Drosophila melanogaster: one gene and its partners. The protein of the gene in region 1 interacts with the protein of each later gene in a pairwise test. Each region holds a gene or a part of one and is shown in the gene's direction. Other genes may lie near its edges.

Region 1 (7,071 bases):
CAACGGCAGCAGCTGCAAATTTGCGAGCAAGAGCTTGTACGCTTCCAACAGTCGGAGTTGAAAACGTACGCCCCAACTGGGACCACGCCCTCCAAAAGGGATTTCGTTTATCCGCGCACCCTCGTGGCCACGTCGCCACATCAGGAAATTGTGAGGCGCTATCGCCAAGAGCTGGACTGGTCAGATCTGGACACCACGGCCACTATAGATGAGGTAACCTAAAATCCTTCAACCTTGTATGTTGAAAAGCACCAACTTTTATGTTTCCAATCCGTAGTGCAGCGAGGGTGAGCATGACGTCTCCATGCATTCCGTCCAGGAGCTGTCCGAAACTGAAACCATAATGAACTCCACGCCCATTGAGCCCGTGGATGGTGTCACCGTGAAGCGTGGGTGCGGCACCACCCGCAATTCCAATTCGAACGCCCTAAAGCCACCCGTAGCTACTGGTGGAAAACGCAGCAGCTCGTTGTCACGTTCCCTGACACCCAGTAAAACGTCACCTCGAGGTTCTCCCGCCTTCGTCAGGGTAAGTCAAGTGCAAGTCCGCTAATGACTTAACAAATAAAGGGTGGGGATATATTATCATTGCTTTTATTTTCAATATTTTTAGCACAACAAAGAAAACGTAGCCTGATTGCATTCGATGACAGTAGTAGTCTCCCCTTCCCAGTAACCCGTTTATGTTAGTGGATTTCGGATCGCTGTGTTTGTTTGGCTCTTCTGGATATTCATTTTATCTGTATATCAATCTTTGGAATTTCGTACATTTATTATTTAAATAAACTCAGTATGCTATGTAAAGTTAAGGAAATCTTTAGTTCAAGTGCAGGTTTAAGATATATCAGAAGGTATTCTTAAACTTCGATACTATTTTTTAGGGAAGAAGTGAATTTGGTTTTTTAATGATGTCATGCCTTCCAAGGAAGCGCTTTATAATTAATATAATCTTAACTATTTTACTTATCATATTCTCGTTTGTGAATTTAAATTTGTTGAAGTTTTTTTTCATAAAACATTTAAACATATTAAATATCCATCTTTCAAAGTGTGTTCCTTATAATTAGAGCATCCAACATATTTAGGAAAAAACAGATGTCATAACTATCTATCTATCTATTACTAATCCTCATCCTGCTCGTCGTCATCATCCTTAAGAATGCCCAGACGGCGGGCTACCTCCTTCACATTGGCAATGAACTCCTCCTGGACCAGGTTAAAACTCATGGCCAACAAGGCAATGCCGAAAAGAAGGTACAGCGAGCAATAGGCGATGGACTGCTCCGACTCGTCCTTGACTCCTTTCGCGGGGACAAAGTCACCAAATCCTGTAATGCAAAAGCAGATGAAAAGAGTGCGCAAGGAATTGGGATAAACACAAACCGATTGTTGTCAGTGTAATGAAGCAAAAGTAGGCGGAATCCAAGAAGGACCAGTTCTCCCAGTACGCAAAAAGAACAGCTCCGCCAAGGATGTAGCTCACTACCAGAAAGACGCATAACCAAATGGGGACAGGTCGATCCTTGGGCAGCAGATCTCCATAGTCCCCATACTCATCCCCGTACATAGAGTCATCGTCGTCGTAATCGTAGCTGGGTCGCCGACGGATTTGCCGCTGGACCGGAAATCCCATTGGTGACATGATTCTCGGGGAAGGGGGCAAACGTTCAGCCCGCTCTCTTCGGCGATTTCTTTTTGGTTCTCGACTCCTTGAGTGGTGGCGCTCAGGCGGATAATCCTCGTAGTTATTGTCTCCGTAAAGGGATCCCTCATCGAAGCTCTCTTCCACGTAGTCCTCGTAGCGACCCTGGGAGTGACCACGCCTATCCCGTCGATGGTCCCGTCCCGGCGGTGGAGCATCATAGTCGGGAAGTTCGAGATGGTTGCCATAGCGAGATGATTGCCTGCCCAGACTTCCAGCTCGTCTATCATGCTGTTGGCGATAGGAGCTCTGCGGTGGCGGCTGTGGAGATCGTTCCCGTTCTCTGTCCTTCTGGCGTTGCCTTTGGTGAGCAGATCTGGGCATGGATTGACTCCTTGGAGCTGCTTGTCTTCTGTTGCCCCCGAAGTCATCTAAAGCATACCTATTTGGTATAATTGGTGTTTTCCTCACCACGTCCTCGTCGACGTCTTCGTAATGTGAAGAAACGTGCCTGGGATCCACGGACTTGGCCCTACTTCTCCCAGGTGCCGAGTGAAGACGATGCAGTTCTCTGGACGCTTTGGAAGATTCCTGATTGTGTGGCGATCGAACCGATCGCACACTGGCAGCTCTTTTCGCAGGAGGTTGCATGTCACCGAAGTCCTCAATGGATCCAGCATCCAAGTGGGATCGAGAGTAGCGCTCCCTTTCTACCGTGTGTCTGTCCCTCATCCGATCCCGTTGTCTTTGCCGGCTACTGTAGCGGTTGGATCTGTTCAGGGTCTGAGTTTCGTACCCATCTCCGTAAATGGTGTGACGCTGGCGAGGATCGTGATGCAAATGCTGCTGCTGCTGCTGACGACGATTGCGTCCGCCTCCACTGCTCCGATGTCCGAACTCGCGGTCATCGTAGCCCCGGCCCATGGTGCGCAGGTCGGGATCTGAATAGGCATGACCCATGGAAGGACCCAGACCCGAGTCATTCCCAGACCGTTGGGTCATCTTCATGGAGCGCCGGAACGAGGGCGGCGGCTGGGATCGGGCATGGCGCTGAGAGCGCATCGATCTCTGCCGGGATCGGGCATTCCTCGGACGTTTGGCCGTGCGGGTGCACACATAGCAGCATATTCTCCAGTACAGAAACCTATATTGGAATATATGTATGAAAACATACTCATTTAGTTCTCAGCTCATCGATGTCAACTCACCGAAATGATGTGGCCATGACATCGCCAATGTTGGACAAGCAGATGAGCATCAGCGGAATGCCCACAATGGCGTAGAAAATCGTTGTCACCTTGCCCCAATCCGTACGCGGCGATATGTGACCATAGCCTGTCCAGAGAATGACAAGGAACACATAATTACTCTTTCGCAGATAGGTAAGATTGATTTTGAGTCACCTTTCACCTTCAACCTCGTGACCGCAAAGTTCTTGAAATACTAATGAATCTAAGACCCGCTAAGGCCCAATCCCCAATCCATATGTACTTCTTTTTGTTCATGCCAAGCCCATTATCGCTTCGAAATAGCAAACATGGCATTTCAAGTCTGCCGCTTTTGGCCTTTACGGAAGTGTGCAAATTCGTAGATAGCATTCTGTGCCCCTCTTCGCGGGGTTCTATCTGATGGGCGTCGGTCACTAAACCCATTTGTGTGCTAGCCGTAAATCCATATCGGGGAAAAGTGCAGACGAAAAGCGTAAAACTAAGCTCCCATCATCAACAGCCAGAGCTAATAAACTGATTTATACCAAATACTTCCACTCGAAAGCCGAAAAGTTGAATGCTCTAAGTGGGTTAAAGTGAAAAAGGTTTCTGTATACTTTTAAAGTAGGAGAGTTTATAGAGTTCTTGGGGTTTGCTTAAGGCCTTCGATTGAAAACCTTCCATGCACCACTTCCCCTTTTATGAGTAATCACTAATCACCAACACCCCCTGTGTGTTAGGGTATACTAATAATGAGAAATTCCCATCGTTAAAATCTAAAAATCTGAAATGCCAGAAAAGATAATCACGATCGGTCAGTGGCGTTTGACCTTGCTGTTGTTTTGACCACAAACAATTGGATGGCAGCAATCCACTTTTGGTTTCATTTGACACGCTCCACACACCCTCGCTCCCTTTGAAAGCCATCACCACCCGAATGAACCCATTTTTAGAGGTCAACCACGTGCTGGCTGCTCACCTGACTGTGTCCGAGCTGAATCTTTGACTTGTGACTCCCGCCCTGCAAAGGAAGCAAGCATATGTTTTCCAACTCATGGAAATTCCCAGGAATAAGCTTTTAGGTCGATCGGTGGTGGTCAATTACCGTGATTTATGCGATTTCAACGTGATCGCTGTGTGGACAAAACCAATTGTCCGACTCATCCGCTTGCCTCATTGGTTCCTGGGCGGATTGCGGTCTGGTCGCGCTTCAGGTGAATCAACGTGGGCCAAGACTTGGGCCACAGATCTCTGAAGATTTCTGTCTGGCACGATCGTTGATTCATTGGTCGGGCAGCCGCCGAATGCGAATACCTGCGGCTGCCCTCGTCGCTTGACTGAGTTTGTGCGTCGTCATCGCCGCTGATGTCTCTGGCGGTTGTATTTGTTTTTTGGTTCTCGGGTGCGGTTATATAAGTAGTGTGTGCCGGTCGCATTTTCGAACTATTCTGTTGCGGGAGCTTGCCGCGATCAAGCGCAAAAATCGGGTCAGTGTGTAATCGAACAAAGCGTGCCAATCATGCCAAGCTATTGCCTCATCATCGTCCTATGCCTTCTTGGATCAGTGGCGGCTAAGTCTTCGGATGGAGATCGAGATCAGTGGGTCTGGAGGTCCTACAATCGCAGGGAGCGCTCTTTTCGGGACATCAATCGCAGTTCCCCCATAAGGAACTCGTACGACGAAAAGCTGAGGCGGGAGCCCACGACTCGAAGACCTTTTCCGGGCGAACCGGAGAATGATGAGATAGAGGACTATGCCGATGTGGAGCCCACCAGGTCATCGGACACTCCCAACGTAGGCACCCGTCAGTTTAATCCATACGGTGGTCAGACCAATGCCGGACAGTTCGGAGGACTTGGAGGCTATAACGGAAACCCCGGAGTGCTAGTCGGACCTGGCGGACCCACCGGAATCATAGGGAGACCGCAGCTATACCCCACTCCCTATCAGCCAGGCTATGGTGGATTCTCTGGAGCTCAAAATGGCATTAGTGGATATCCAGGCGGATACGGAGGAGTAGGACAGGGACTTCCCGGAGCTGGATTCCCCGGAGCCAGCGTGGGTGGTGGGTTTAACAACTTCCCCAGTAATGGACTTGGCCTCAACCAATTTCCTGGCAATGGGCAATACCCTTACGGCTCCTATCCAGGTGGCGACTTCGGTGGAAGCCAATTCGCGGGCGCAGGTGCCCAGTTCCCAGGATTGGGACAGTACCCAGCAAACCAACAGTTCGGTGGACCTCAGTACACCGAGGGCTATGGTCTGGCAGGAGGACTGGGCTTAGGTCAACTTGGAGTAGGCAACGGTGGACTCGGATACGGTGGAAGTTTTCCACCTCTAGGAGGAGGCTTCGGCTATGACGAGAAATCGCCAGCTGTGGCCGATGGTAAGAGTGCTAAGAGTGTGGCAGCGTCACCCAGAAAAGTGAATGATAAGCTCAGTAAGAAGGTCTAGAGCTTCGTGTTTTAGAAGTGGAAGGTGTTATGTTAAAGATATGGAACTGAAGCTATTACTTTCCCACTCAACCCTCCTTTTTCCCTTAGGCTGAGTTGGAAGTAGTCACCTTAGTGTAGGCATAGTTTACGTATAGACTAAGCAAATAAATTCCCATGTTTACTCACACATGACTTTGAAGAACTCAATCCATAAGCTTAAAAAAAACATACTCACCTATGGTCGTTATCACAATAATCGAGTAGAACAGGGATCCGGCAAAGGTCCACTGGGACTTGCGCAGATCCTCGTCGCCATCCCAGCCGTCGGCCTTGATGGCCGTAAGGATTTGCTTTTCAAAATTGGCCAGGTGCTTGCTGACATTGGCCATCCAATCGCTTTCCCTTAGGACCACTGCGTCGTCGGACAGTAGCCAGATATTCTCCGTGAGATTAACGCGAAGATTCTGTATGTCTCGCTTCACCTGCATGGGGATTTTGGATTTTTAGCATTTGAGACCTTCCAGCAAAATCACCCACTCACCTCTAGTTCGTGGGGTCGTTCGAGATGCTGGAAGAGGTAGGCACCGCCCACGCAATAGGAAACCACGAGAAGCACGAGCAGCACATGGGACACAATGCAGGTGAGCACCTTCCACGAGAAGCAGATGGCAGCTACACAGCGTCCGCGTTGCGGCTTCGCTGGCTCCAACATGTGCGCCGGCAGAGATTGGGCCCGCCTACCCGACATGGTCACCCTCCTCTGGCCTCCTCCTTCCTTTGGCTAATTTGCCGCTCGGTTGGCTGTGAATTATGAAAGGCAAAATAAACTAAATAAAGGATGGGACGAAAATGTTTGGAGGTCGGCCTGGCAAATACCCTTAGAAATTGTAAATTGTTGTTGAGATGAAGAGTTGTTTGAGAGTGCCTCTCCGAAGTAATATATTGTAGTAACCTTAATGGGAATGCTACATAATGTTTAAAATTATGCCTGCGAATAAACACGCCTTCTATGGCGTTCGTTTCAGAAATCGTTGGTAATCTCCAAAGGAGCAATTACCGAGAAGCCAAAAGGTAAACCAGACAAAGCTCCACGGCACATATGTTTATTTGTCCAAATATTTATTTATTTGGGTTGCTGGGGCAAGGCCGAAGAGCCAAGGGGATCAGGTGCGGAAGACTCGACTCCATGAGACTATTTTGGGTGCCGCCGCCCGGCGGGGCATTCATCTCATCGTCAAATCTCGTGCCACGCCTGTCGAGAACTCTGCTGGTTCCTCTTGCTTATAGATGCGGACTACATAACATGTCCGAGCAATTATGAACTTCGATTTCATGTGGGCAATTAGCGCTGGTGAATTATGGGCCCATCGGGATTGGGCATTGGACTGCTGTTAATGATGATTACCGATCGCTGATCGCCTTCTGATTCGCACTGAGGAAAACTTTTCAGTTTTCCACATTAAGTTCCATGCTGTATATTTTGCCCGCACTCTCCCGTCTTCCGTCTAACAATCCGTTTCCGATTCTATATCCGATGGGATCCGTACAGAGAAAAGAAGCACCGATCCGTACGAGCCACAAATTCTTACTGCGGATCGCAGCTACAGATGGACTCTCCACGGATCGCTCGGGAAATTGGGTTTATTTTTGGTCTAACGCGAAGTTCTCTTGTCTTCCGTAGATATATAGTTTTGGAAAAACTTTTATTTTCGGCTTTTCTCTGGTCGTCGTTTGTTTTGTATTGTTTGGCTCTCTCAGTCGTCGCACTTTGTGTTTTGATTATGG
Region 2 (6,407 bases), about 15 Mb from region 1:
CAGAGAATGTAACTGCGGTTGATAAAATCATAGGCACACCAAAAAATTAGCAAAAGGAAACATATTCGCTATCTGATTCAGACTCTCATTACGAACCAGACGCCTCGTAATGTCGCCAAATGGGGTTTCATTTATTCGGCCAACACACACACACACAAACTATTGGCAACACACACACACACACACTCACAAGTGGGGCACAGAAATGTTGTTAGTGGATTTCGAACTGCACGCAACATGAAATCAAATCAGAAATTCCAGACACAAACCCGGCCCAAACACGCGACAATTGTTGCAACAATAAACAAAAAGCGGGTGGACGAAAAAAAGTGGTAATTCAATTAAATGATTGAGCCAAGTAACACGTACTCTGGGTAAATAATTGCAGCTCATTACAAAAGCACCACCCACCGAAAATATTCGAAAAGCCCCAACTGTCATAAACCCGACCGAAACCCAAACGAAATCTTGCCCAATATTAACCTAGGTTATGGTCGGGAATTGCGTGCAATTATGAAAGTTTTCGGGGGCGATCGACGTAAGAGGCTACCGATTGATTATTAAGTACATATGTACATATATCGCACCGATCCAGCAACGCCCTTCATCAGCTCCCAATATAGAAAGTCTTCCAAGGTGTTTTCGTATGCGCGTCCATGGATATTCCGTGGGCTACAGAATTATAAAAGCGTTACCCAGTGGACAATTGGATATCACAGTTCAGTCTGCCTTCAAGCTAATCACACCTAGCAAATCATACCCAATCCCCAAAATGTTCGCCAAGATTGTGGTGAGTTGCAAAGGATGTCCGGATCTATCGAAGTGGATTATAGATATATACCTTCATTTACAGCTCGTTGCCCTCTGCGTGGCCTCTGCTCAGGCTGGTCTCCTTCCTTTCCATGCTCCGGCTCCACTGGCTGCTCCACTTGCTCCTGCCTTCGCAGCTCCCCTGGCTGCTCCTGTGGCTACCGCCGGAGTGGTGGCTCCATATGCCTCCAGCTTCAATGCCCACCGCATCAACCACGCCGTGGCATACCCAGTGGCTCCTGCTCCAGCTCCAGTGGCCTTCGCTGCTCCCCTTCCCGCTCCCCTGCCCGTTCCAGTTGCTGCTCCCGCTCCAGTGGCCTTTGCCGCTCCTGCTCCTCTGCCAGTGGCTGCTGCTCCTGCTCCGGTGGCCTTTGCTGCTCCCGCCAAGGTTGCCTTCGCCGCTCCCGCTCCGGTGGCTGCTCCTCTGGGCTTCGCCCCTGCTCCGGCGCCTGTTGCCTTCGCCGCACCAGCCAAGTTCGGATTCGGACCCTTCGCCGCTCCCCTGGCTGCTCCAGTCCCAGCGCCTCTGGCTGTGGCCCCCAAGTTCGCTCCCGCCCCATACTTCTTCTAAGGACTTAGCTGTAGGATCACCCAGCTCATACACTCCCATCCGTCCTATTAGATTGTAGAAACTAGCCCAAATCTTCATCTCCTAGAGAGCAGCAATGCTTGGCGAATAAACAATTATCCATTAATCAAATTTACAAACGTGTTTCTTTGAGGAAGTTTACTTGGTAGCCTCTCAGTAGTATTTCCTATTATAGCTGCCTTGGATTATACCATCCAAAATCATATTTCAAATTAATACTGCTCTTAAAAGTCGAACATCATTAGCGGATAATATATAATACCTTCTAAAACCATATAAACGGTTTCTATATTTTTTACGGATTTTTAGGTAAGTTTTATAGAATCATTCATCAGTGATAGCAGCAATGTTAAACGTAATGATTAAAAGAATGATTATTATTATTATTTGTTTTTATTTATAAGTTAAACTATGTTTTTCTAGGGTATACATCGCTAGAACCTAATGTTTTTGACATGACCAATCCTCTGGAAGAGAGGAACATGTTCGTAGGGCGTGTGCGAAATGGGCACCGAATCGTAGGTGACGTGGGCAATCTTCGTGAGAGGTGCCACAATGGTGTAGCCAGGATGCTGAGCCAACTCCTGGGGCGTTGATGCAACCGGCAGAGGATGATGATAGATCACCGGGTGATGGTAGATAACCGTGGCGGCAAAGGCACCACTCAAAAGGCCGAATAGCACGACGAGCTAAAATAAGATCTATCAGATACAGATACTAATAAAGGAGTACTGAGTATCTATCCTGTTTACCTTGAACATTCTCTGGTGATATTGTGGTCAGAACTGCACTTGGACTAAGCTGAATGCAGCCGAAGGCCAATCAATTTATAGGCTCGTCTTCATCGCTGGATTTTCATAGCGCTTTTAAACAGTTAGGAGGGGTAAACCGGTTGACAATCCCCTGAGATCAGCAACTGCATTTCCCTTGCTACCAGGAACCTGTTGCAACATCCATGTAGTGGGAGCACTACTCCACTTGGCCTCTGGTCCCCTTCTCTTCGAAAAGAAACCCGTTTTCAAGTTCAAGTTTAAAGCGTCAACGCCGAAGATTATCAAAGAGTCAGTGACTCTTTTGTGCACTTAATTATGGCACATTGGGTTGGTTGGTTGCTTTTGTTGTCTTACATTTCTCGGCTTTTTGTTTGTTTGTTTTTTTTTTCTTGGGAAGTATGAGTTAGTTGGTCACACGTCTGCGGATTTGCCTTTGTTTACCCATTTGATGTCTCTTTTCAATTTTAATCATTGCCCAATCTTGTGTTTTTCGAGCTATTTTATGTGGCTTTGGAGGTGTTAAGAATTGATTAGTTTGACTTTATTCAGCGGCTGTTCGAGCTCTTTATGCTAAAGCGGTTATAAACGTTGTTTTAGTTTTAATACTAGCACACTCCCTACAACGAAGTTGCTTTTGTGGCCAGTCTGACACATACAAATTTTGCTTAATATATACTTGTGTTATAGATTCGTGAAAAATAGATTTTGAAATATATTTAAATTAAACCTACGAATATATAGCGTTTTTTTGGAGGAGTCTATACTTTTACTTATATAGTTCTCTTCTTTTCTATACTGAATAAAAATAAACAGACCATTGACCCGAAGTTCAGATCTTAGTTCTTGATCAGATCCAACCGGAATCACATGAAGGAAACGAAGGAAAAGGCCACCCACCAGATTTAAAATGCCCACAGGCCAAATTAAAAACTGGAACTGGAACCATTGTGGACTGGTAAATGCCAAACTCGATTGCAGATTATACAATGCTGGCCCAAAAGGCAAAAAAAAACAGGTGTTGGATTTTCTTTTTATTTACAGCAGCTACGGATGGTTTTGTGGCATGCCGCTAACTTGGGCAACTTGTCAGGCGAATTAGATTTACTTTGTGGCACTGCTCATTAGATCACCGATGTCCATGTGGGGATGCAATCCACTGAACTGGGGTTTGGTATAAAAGAGGCCTGCTGGGATCAACTGCAGCAACACAATTGGTTAAGCCGCCACAGAAGCAGCCGGAAAATTACCTACAGCAAGATGAAAGGAGTAAGTGGTACCAGGATATAAAAGGATAATACAATTATTAATAAAAAATACTTTAGAAAATATAAGCAATTTTTTTTACTTAAATCATATAAATAACATTTGTCTTTTCTTCATTGAAAGCTGCTACTCATTACAATCGCCTGCTTGACGACCTCCATCCTGGCAGCTCCTGCTCCTGAACCCGCTCCAGAACCATCTCCGTCTCCAGCTCCTGCTCCATCTCCATCACCCAGCATTGGAATCGGAATTGGTCATGGCTACGGTGGATATGGCCTGGGATTGGGTCTAGGAATCGGGCACTACGGAGGACTCTACGGGCACGGCTATGGCGGGCACTATGGAGGTCTTGGTCTGGGATTGGGCTACCATGCACCCATCATCTCCAAGACGATCATCGGCAAAAGCTACTTGGGCGGCTATGGCTATGGCCTCGGTCACGGATATCTCGGAGGCTACGGCCATGGACTGTACGGAGGACACGGTCTGGGTCTGGGTCTGGGTCTGGGATACGGACTGGGATATGGCTATGGCCACGGTTGGTAGAGGTACTCCCAAGTCAAGTAAAGTTAAGCCAAATGGAGCCGGGACGAGCGTGTGAGAGTTTTCAATCAAGTCATATACTTCGCAGTACCCAAATCTTATTCAGTCAGTCACTCAGCAAGTCAATAAATCAATAAAGACAAAGCAAAAAATGTACAAAAAACTAGAATCATGGTCAACCGTTTATTAAAACTGGATCTTTTTTTCTCACGGTTCTTTGAGACATATTTATAATTGTCTTAATTGCCTATACTAAACATATATTTTGATACTTAATGTAAGTAAAGCACACTTTTGATGTTCTGAACAAAATATATAACATTCGTTTACGATTTCAAAACTTTGGCTATAAGGAACATCCAAATACTGAAATCTGAAAATAAATATCTGAAAAACAAAATGAAACTGAATATTTGAAAATTGTCAGCACGTTTTTCATATTGCCTCAAACGCTTGATCAAATAAAACAGTTTTAAGTTTAGTTTTTAAATTCAATCGAAATATATTTCAACATCAAACCCACTCTTCACAATCTGTTTTTTAACAATTTGATTTCACTTTACAAAACCTTCACTGATTTCTCTCTCTCTCTTTTTTCTCTGTGTATTTACATCTCATTTCTGACCGATCCAAACAAAACGAAATGCATGCGGAAAACGATGATGGGTGGTATGGACCTCGTTTACCATCCATGAGCGAGTCCATAGGCAGGAGCAGCAAGAGCTGTCTTGTAGCCCAGTCCCAGAGGAGCACCCAGAGTAGGATATGCCGACTTGTAGCCCAATCCCAAGGGAGCGGCCAGAGGGGCGTGAGCTAGTCCCAAAGGACCATGAGCCAGGCCAATGGGACCGGGACCATATCCCAATCCGTAGGCGGAAAGGGCCGGAGCAGCCAGAGGAGCGTGCGCCAAGGCCGGGGCGGCATAGCTAAGCCTGGGGGCCAGCCCGTAAGAGGCAATCGAGGGAGCAGCCAAGGCGTGTCCATAGGAGATGGCCGGAGCAGCTGCAGTCAGCGGCAAGGCCGGAGCAGCTAATCCGCCCAAATAGCCAGGAGCAGCAGCAGCGCTGGCCAGGCAGAAAACGGCGAAAACGAACTAGTTGATGGGGGAAAAAAAAATGAGATACTAACAAAGGACTTTTCAGAGTATATCAATTCCACTTACGTATTTGAACATTTTGGTTTTGGTTGCAAGTTGAACTCGTGGCAAGAACACAAAGCTGAATAATGCCGCTGTCTAAGGCACAAATGCTTTTATAGCCCACAGACCTGGCCAAAATGCAGCACGAGAACGGATCCAAACTGGCGGCCCAGAGACTTTTACTTTTGTTCAAACGAGAGACATAGGCATATTCGTAGCCCAAAACCGAGTCCAAGAGAGCCACATGCAAAGCTGGCCTGTCGAGTATCGAGATGGCGATGGAGACCTGGGACCCACCGGAGCACCACCTGGCCCCGCCCCAGACAACGCGGATGTGGGCCTGGGCTGCGATTTGGCCATACCCTTTCGGTGGTAAACTAAATGAGAGATTGTTTTTATCTAATGAATAATAAGGATTTTAATACGTAATTAGGAAAGTCATCAAATGAAATATTACATAAATTATTCATTAAATTTTTGATTCTTCTACAAGGATAGTAGTTATTCTGTGAGTTATTCGGTTCACAATAATGAAATATTTATATTTACCTATTTACACTATTAGAACTTATTTTGTCTTAATATTTTTAATATATTTATGGAAATTTCAATCTAAATATATATTATCTATTATAAGTATTATGCTGTTTATATTGAATATTCATAATTGTCTCCAGTCAAAGGGTATTTCCCCAATCGATCAACGTTTCGACCATTTTTGTTTTTATTTTGAATAATTTCTGATAAATTTGTTTTTGGTCTATTTACCTAATGCCGAAGCCGCGACAAGGTGTGCGTGAGAAAAACTTAAATTGCATTTTGTATCTTGCCTTTTTGGGTTCTTGTATGCATTTATTTCCATGCAGGCAACAAGTTTCGCCCATTCCGCCGTTTAAATTCATTCAAATGCGTGAGGCTATTTTGCTGTAGAAATTTTCGCAGTAAATGCTCGAGCATTCGCGGAGCCAAAGTCTTAATAATTACAACACAGGCCGGCAATGAAAGGGGCGTGGCAGATACACACCTGTGCGTAAAACCGAAGCAAAAACCAGATCCAGATCCGCCTCGAGATCGTTCTATGTGGGGCAAATGCAGTGTGTGCCAAGAACAATAAACGATCGTAGACAGGGGCGTGGGCAAGGTCGTTCTTCTAGTGCAACGGGAGGGAATCCTGGGCCAAACGACGCCACTGGCGGTGCCAACTTATGAACCAGTGCACCCATAACTCATGCAACTGCAACAACAATGCCGAAGGAACTGCGGCTGCCACTTAATTGCCGGCGACCCACTC
Region 3 (7,291 bases), on another chromosome or scaffold:
ATCATTTAAAACTAACCTAAAAATGTCAATTGGAACTTTTTTCGATGGCGAACGCAACTGTACCCCCAATGTTCCTTATTCCATAACATTCCCTAGTCCTCTATCTCGCTCTCTGACAACTATCTCTCTCTCTCTCTCTCTCGCTGACACCTATATCTATCTCTGACCATCGCAATAGCTGTGTCTCTGTCTCGCGCGTGCACATGCATTAGAGCAGAGCAGAGATACCCAGATATTAACTTAATTGTAATCATATATAAAACCTATACCTAATTTTCTTTCAGCACTATTCTTTGTACAAATCGAAAGAAAAAATTGACAAAAAAGAACGTACAAAAAAATCAAATCAAATGAAACGAAAAGAATGACAACAACTTAAAAACCAAAAAATTAAAAAAAAAAAAAAAAATGAGAAAAAAGGAATGAATAAATTACAGAAAGTAGTTAGATTGGGCGAGGTGCCATTTGACGAGGGAAGCTCCGCGGGCAGCTCGCCAAAGAACTTTTGAAGAAGACTAAATAAACTGATATATACATGAGAATACATGATATATATAGAGACCCAGTCCTGTATATATTTGTATATGTATATTTTTTACAGCATTCAAACCGAAAATGCATTTTGAATGGGTTGATTCTGATTGGAATGGGTTGATTCTACAACTTTGCCCCTGGCATTGTCTCTCTAGCTGCGATTTATGTGTGCCTCGTTCGTCTGGGGATTTATGGATATGTCATGCATCTTCAAACTATTTTCATTGTTTTTTTTTCGCATTCAATCGAAGTGAATGAGAACTGGAACTCATCGCTGGCGACATCGAATCTAGTTATTCACGAGACGCGTCTAATCAATTGCAGATGATTCATTTCGAGAGCCGAACCCCATTCATCTCCCCAACCTTGATATGCATATGTAACTCAATTGGTGCTATTTTCATGGACTGCGCTGTAGAGTAGGCAATAGTAATTGAATCGCACTCTGAAGACAAACTGAAAGTATCCTGATAGAGAGTTGCATTATCTGCAGTGGAGCAATAATAGACAAGGTGTATATTATTTACCATTATTTAAGTATTTAGGTCAAGGTCGCTTGGAGCTTGGGGATACGATCCATTATGGGGGTGGTGGTCACCGCTTGAGCGAGGGACTTGACTTTGTCGTTTGGCCAGTCGCACAATGCACATGGATGGATAATCGTGTGAAGTATTCTTGGTCTTGGCTGATGGTAATATGCAATTATGCAAAGTGCAAGTTCAGCGGAAAAGGCCATGGTTTTGTTTTGCTTTGTTGTGGATTTGTTGTCGCCACACCATTGTCTCCAGGTCTGAGATTAGCTAAGGTAGCCACCCAGATGCAGCCCACTTCGACCCACTGCCACCCCAAAGTTCCCATCATCATCATCATCGTCGTCATCATAGTCAGCATCATCATAATTTTCAGCTTCATTTGCTCGATGTACCTTGCTTGCGGTTTTTTTTTTTTTAAAGCTGCATTTGGATCGCTTTAGTTTTCAGTTTTTCTGCTTTCAGTTAACCAAGCCGCTCTGTTCAATTATAATTAAATCTGTTTGTAAATATAATTGGTGGGCGTGCGACTGGCATGAATGATGCAAGATTGCTGCCACCGTCGAGCGTGATTTGCTTTTGCAAATTAGAACAACGAATCATGGCAACGCCCCGGGGAAAATGTTACCTGTCTAATCTGGGATTTGGTTCTTCCCTTCGAATGCACTGCGAAAAACAGGTGCGTATACTTCAATGGAAAAGATACAACATGAACTGAGTGATATACAAAGATAGAAAAACTCTTGAATACAATAATGGATTAGAATGGTCTTAAAATTCTGAGATGAAATATGCAACTTAAATGATATTTGAAAAAATCACTATACTAGTTTTGCTCCACATTTTTTTATGCTTTTAACTGGCTCTATCTCAACTGACAAAGTTCTAAATCTGATTTTTGCACCGTGCTTGCTTTTCCTTGATTACTCATACGCCCCGTGTGCGCGGGTTGGCCAAGAAATGGAGGCTACCACTTACCGCGAGATTCACGGGCTGCCCGTGTAATGGGCTTTTAGGCCTCGGCATTAAAGAACCATTGTCTCAGTGGGGTAAGAGCACAAGAAAAGAAAAAAAAAAACGAGAAACTCCCAGGCCATCGCCAAAGTGCACCCATGGCCAAGTCAACTCATAGCAGTCGGCAGTAGCTTCGGTTGCCTCCCTCCATCCATCCCTCCATCTATCCATCCATCCCTCCAACCATCTATCCATCCATACAGTCAGTCGAATCAGTTAACACTTTTCACATGCCCGCCGGGTCGAACAATGTGAACCCACTCATATGGGCGGTATGACAAGCGTATGTATATACTATGTGGCTATCCACAAGCATGGCATCGACAACTATTTTGACATATTTCGTAAATATCCGTGGATAAGTATCGCAATGCTATTGGCACACGTAACTTCAACTGCACAGATACAAGCTACAGTTTTGCAGTTTTGGAAAATGGCAAACGGATATAGATCGTTATGTTCTTAAATGCTACTTTATTATTCAAACACTTGCTAAAGTTATTATTAAAGTTATTTGAAACATCTGAGTACTTTTTAGTTTCTTGTACTAAACTCTATAGATTAAATGTACTTAAATGTGGAATACCCCTGAATTTATGCTAAAACTATCGCCCAGATTGGTAGAACCTAATTCAGTCCATTCAACCCAATCGAAGTTACGACTCCAATCCGTTAGGTTTTTTAGAAAATGTGTCAGCAATGTTGGTTGGAATGGGGATACTTAGCTTAGGCACTTGGCCAAAAAGCCTCTAAGAAATTAACAATTGCCACCTTTGTTGGCGAAATTCAAGCATTCAGATCCGCCTGGCTCTTCTTCTCTGCGATGTTTTGTTAACAATTTCAGTTGGCTTAAATAAGCGCTGGAAAGTGAAAACCCAATTCGATACTGTTGTTCATGAAATGAGTCACGTACTAGCCGCAATATTTATCTATCTAACTAAATCGTTTCAACTGGACTCGCATGATTGCTGTTACGTTTTTTTTTTAAACTTTGTTTTCAAAGCTGCAATCGTTGGGCATTTTCGCGTTTTATGTTGACCAATTAGCTGTTTCAGGGTCAAGTTAATGATTCAATTAGCATTTGTCATCATTGTTATTGCTTCTCCTGAGCGGCGGCGGTATAATTGATCCCCCAGATCGTGGGAATATTCATAATGATGTGTGATCACACATCAACACGCCCAACCAGCTTTTCATAAGTAGATCATTCGAAAGGTATTGTTTTCTTCAAGAAAAGAGTTAAGATTATAAATATGTATTTAATATACAATATTAGCAATCTAAGTTGATCCAGAGTTGTTCCATAAATGGGTTAAGTAGAGCTCATCTGATTCTGGAAACTATCTAATCCAGGATATAAATTCAATCTAATATGTTTGATGATTAAGCCAAGACCCATCAGCATACACGTTGTCCAGTGGCATGCGTCATACATACATAGGTGGCAAGCAAGGCGACACGAATCTCTGGGATGCAACAGTTGCGTCCAACTTCGCGGCTCGAGTTCGCTGGGATTGGAAGTGGGCTCGGCGGGTATAAAAGCGACTGCCGGCCCGGTGGGGAATCATTAGACAAGTGTCGAACGGCGCGTGCGCATCATAGTCTTGAAGGAGCAGTTAGCCACCAGAAAGCAGTGAACACCACAAACCGGCAGCCACAACATGAAGTGCTTTGTAAGGACTCGCCAAAGGATCTCTCGTGGATTATAATTTCCCAAAAACTAGAAAATGATTTAAAAAACACAGTTCGTTAAAGTGAATAATAAGTTTTGAAAGCATTGTATTCCAAATGCTTGATGTTCATTGTTAAATTATAAAGTGTATTTAAATTTTAGTTTAAAGTTGATACATATTTTTTACATTTTTTTTATTACATTTTTGAATATGTTTTATGTTGCTTTTGAGAATTTGTTAAACAAAATACTATTGTTAAAAAGTACTTTTCACTTTATTGAAATATGTTTTAAGTGGTAATCTTTTGAATATGATACATTTTGGTGACGCTTTATCCTCGCGCAGTTTATCCTGATAGCAACCAGTCTGGTGCTGAGTGCCTATGCCCAGGACGCGGCGGATTCTGACCTGGAGCAGGTGGCATCCGCATCGGCACCGGATGCGGTGGCCGTGGAGGATCAGGTGAGCGCCGCCAGCAGCTATGCCCCGCTGCAGGATAAGAAGCAGGAGAAGCGCTATGTTGGTGGATACGGTGGCTACGGAGCGGGCTACGGCGCGGGATACGGCGGCTATGGCGCCGGATATGGCGCAGGATACGGCGGCTATGCCTCTGGCCTGGGAGCCGGCTATGGAGGAGCGTACGGCAGTGGCGTCGGCGTTGGCGTGGACAGCTACTACAATCCGTACAGCTCGCGAGCTCTGGGTGGATTAGGTGAGGGTGAGCTTGAAAGAAGACTCTCAATCTCTTGCCGAAGACTCGTAGTATACCAACGCTGTTTCTCAATCCCCAGATGGTGCTGCAGTGGCCGGATACGGAGGCTATGGATCCACTCTGGGCGGCTATGGATCCGCTTTGGGTGGCTATGGATCCGCTCTTGGTGGCTATGGATCGGGACTTAGTGGTTATGGTGGCTCCTACAACTCGAATCCATACGCCCTGTCATACTACAACAGCAGGCTGGGCGCTGGAGCCGGCACTGGGTATCCGTACTACAACACCCGATTCGGCGCTGGTGGCTATCCATCCAGTTACTATACGAGCAACTATGGCAACAGCGTGGTGGGCGGCGGCTTGGGCGCTTTGGGCGGAGTGCCGCCCATCGGATCGGGCTATAACTACGGTTCCGGAATCTCGGGAACCGTCTACTAGACACCGCACGGTCCAACGTTCAAGATCTAAGCTAGTGGAATTTATTTTTTTTCATCGATATATTTTTTTCTAACTTTATTTTTATTAAAAGATGCTACAAAAAAATACATTATCATAATCGTCATTTAACTAGAAAGTATATATTTATATATGCATGTAATCTCATTGGGGCGATGGATATGCGCCATGCTTGTCCTTGATCACCCAGAAGGAGTCGACAATGGCGCCGTTCTGGTCATCGGACACCTGCTCGAAGTGAAGATGCGTGCCATTATGTGCCTTCAAGCGGGTGTATCCGTAATCCTAAAGAGATTATAGAATTATAGTATTCCGTTTTGATATTAAGCAGGTCATTCAATTACATTGCTATGGTAGGCATTCCAGATGGGCAAATCGTTGGAGAAGGGCTCGCGCTCCTCCTTGCAGCCGGCGGAACCCGTGATGATCTGGATGGGCGCCTTGGGATTAGTGTATGGCGCCTCGGCACTGCCATTGTACACCTTGTAGTCGTAGATTGGCCACAGGCGAGTGTAGAAGTGTTCATGCGCAAAGATCTCCACGTCGACGCCGTGCTTGTAGAACAGATCCTCCAGGCCGAACCACTTGAGCATGGGCAGACCCTGGCGAATGTACGTCTCCAGTTGGCTATTGCAATCGTACTCCTTGTCGTCGCTGCAGTACATCGGTCGATGACCGTAGGTGATGATCCACGGACGTTTGGCCCGATTCTCGGGCAGATTGGCCTCGGCCAGGTCACGTTCCAGCCACTCGAATTGCTTGGTCAGCAACTTGAAGCCATAGCTGAGGAAGTAGTAGACCTCCGTGGAGAAGGAGACAAAGTGCACGGGTCCCAAGTTGAAGCTGTACCACAAGCTGTCCGTTTCGCCGGGCATATTGAAGCGGGCGCGATAGTTGGAGAAGTTGCTGTGATGGGCCAAAGTAAGTTAGGTTTGAATAGTTAACACACCGGCATCATCAAATACTTACTACTTCTCCTCGTGATTGCCCGGACAAACCATGTAGGGCACATAGGCAGCCACCGACTCGATCTGGCGCATGAATGCATCACCCACGGCAGCGTTGGAGGTGTCCATGTCGTAGGCAAAGTCACCCACATGGATGATGGCATCGTACATGCCTCGCTCAGTGTCCTGCTGTAGTCGGCCCATCGACTGGGCATTCTCGTTGCCCATGTCACCGAAAATGGCCAACGAGGGCGACCACTTCTCACCCGCCGGTGGCGTCTTGAAATTGAACACCGCCGACCAACCGAGCGGACTGCCGCAGCTGTACTCGTACCGCGTGTCCGGCTCCAGATCCTTCAGTTCCACATTGTGTATGTACTGAGTGCGAGCCTTCTTTCCACCATCGACGAATCGCTGCCAGGTGCCGTTCACCATTATCGGCTCGTCTTTTAGATAGTTCCGCGAGAATTTAACCACCGAGGCGTTGGGGGAACTTCGAGTCGACCATGTCACCACAATATCACGAAGATTGTCTACAACAAAGTTCATTAGCTGGGATTATTCTCACTTTTAAAGACCCAATTTATATTTAAAACCATCTCGTTTTAAAAACAGTTTCCCCTCGAATTTCGTACTTAAGACTATAGAATCAGTAGGCCACAATCATTGCCACTCATACATAGTTGTTTTATTTGAGCGTATAACTGTAATTACATTTCATTAAAATATATATGTTTAGAAGGAGGATAGTTTCTTGGTCCGATTGCTGCGAATATAAATCATTCGAATTTGTGCCCGAATTTAAAATACTTTAGTATATGACGACATAAAATATCACAAAGTTTTTGAGTTGAGATCAGACTGGTACGGTCCATGCTTGTCCTTGACCACCCAGAAACTATCGATGACCTCGCCCTTCTTGTCATCGGACACCTGCTCGAAATGTAGATGGGTGCCGTTGTGGGCCTTCAGTCGAAGATACCCAAAGTCCTGGCTGTGGAAGGCACTCCACGGAGGCATGCGCTTGAAGAATGGCTCCCTGCCCTCGTGATTGCCGGCAGCTCCCGAAATGATGTGTATTGGTGCACCGGGATTCACATACGGCTCGGCCAGCGATCCATTGAACACGGTGTAGTTGTACATGGGCCACATCCGCTCGTAGCAGTGCTCGTGTGCCCACAATTCAATATCTACGCCGTACTGATAAAAGAGTGGCTCCAGCCCGAAGAAATCCAGCATGGGCAGACCCTTTCGAACGATTGTCTCATGATTGGCACAGTCATCTCCGTTGTCATTGCTGCAGTACATGGGCCGATGGCCGTATGTGATAATCCAGGGACGCTTCTTCCGGTTTTCTGGCTTGTTGGCCTCGATCAAATCCCGCTCCAGCCAGTCGTACTGCATCACGATCTGCTTGATCCCGAA

What was found. The genes of interacting proteins can lie anywhere in the genome.
Region 2: the proteins of CG9192 (region 1) and CG13050 interact in a two-hybrid assay, tested with the Drosophila melanogaster proteins (one large-scale study listed by BioGRID).
Region 3: the proteins of CG9192 (region 1) and CG2157 interact in a two-hybrid assay, tested with the Drosophila melanogaster proteins (one large-scale study listed by BioGRID).

The regions. Positions count from the first base shown.
Region 1 is NT_037436.4:1,235,534-1,242,604, reverse strand, and holds CG9192 (uncharacterized protein), read left to right. Parts: upstream 1-4,285; 5' UTR 4,286-4,369; coding exon 4,370-5,305; 3' UTR 5,306-5,472; downstream 5,473-7,071. Other genes in the region: Klp61F (Kinesin-like protein at 61F), read left to right, coding at 1-213, 278-529, 614-637; galene, read right to left, coding at 1,123-1,328, 1,384-2,786, 2,851-2,977, 5,522-5,768, 5,828-6,034.
Region 2 is NT_037436.4:16,276,232-16,282,638, reverse strand, and holds CG13050 (uncharacterized protein), read left to right. Parts: upstream 1-3,367; 5' UTR 3,368-3,429; coding exon 3,430-3,438; intron 3,439-3,558; coding exon 3,559-3,981; 3' UTR 3,982-4,181; downstream 4,182-6,407. Other genes in the region: CG13049 (uncharacterized protein), read left to right, coding at 773-790, 854-1,381; CG13064 (uncharacterized protein), read right to left, coding at 1,834-2,088, 2,152-2,160; CG13065 (uncharacterized protein), read right to left, coding at 4,661-5,071, 5,141-5,152.
Region 3 is NC_004354.4:10,865,641-10,872,931, forward strand, and holds CG2157 (uncharacterized protein), read left to right. Parts: upstream 1-3,643; 5' UTR 3,644-3,739; coding exon 3,740-3,751; intron 3,752-4,096; coding exon 4,097-4,469; intron 4,470-4,542; coding exon 4,543-4,901; 3' UTR 4,902-5,063; downstream 5,064-7,291.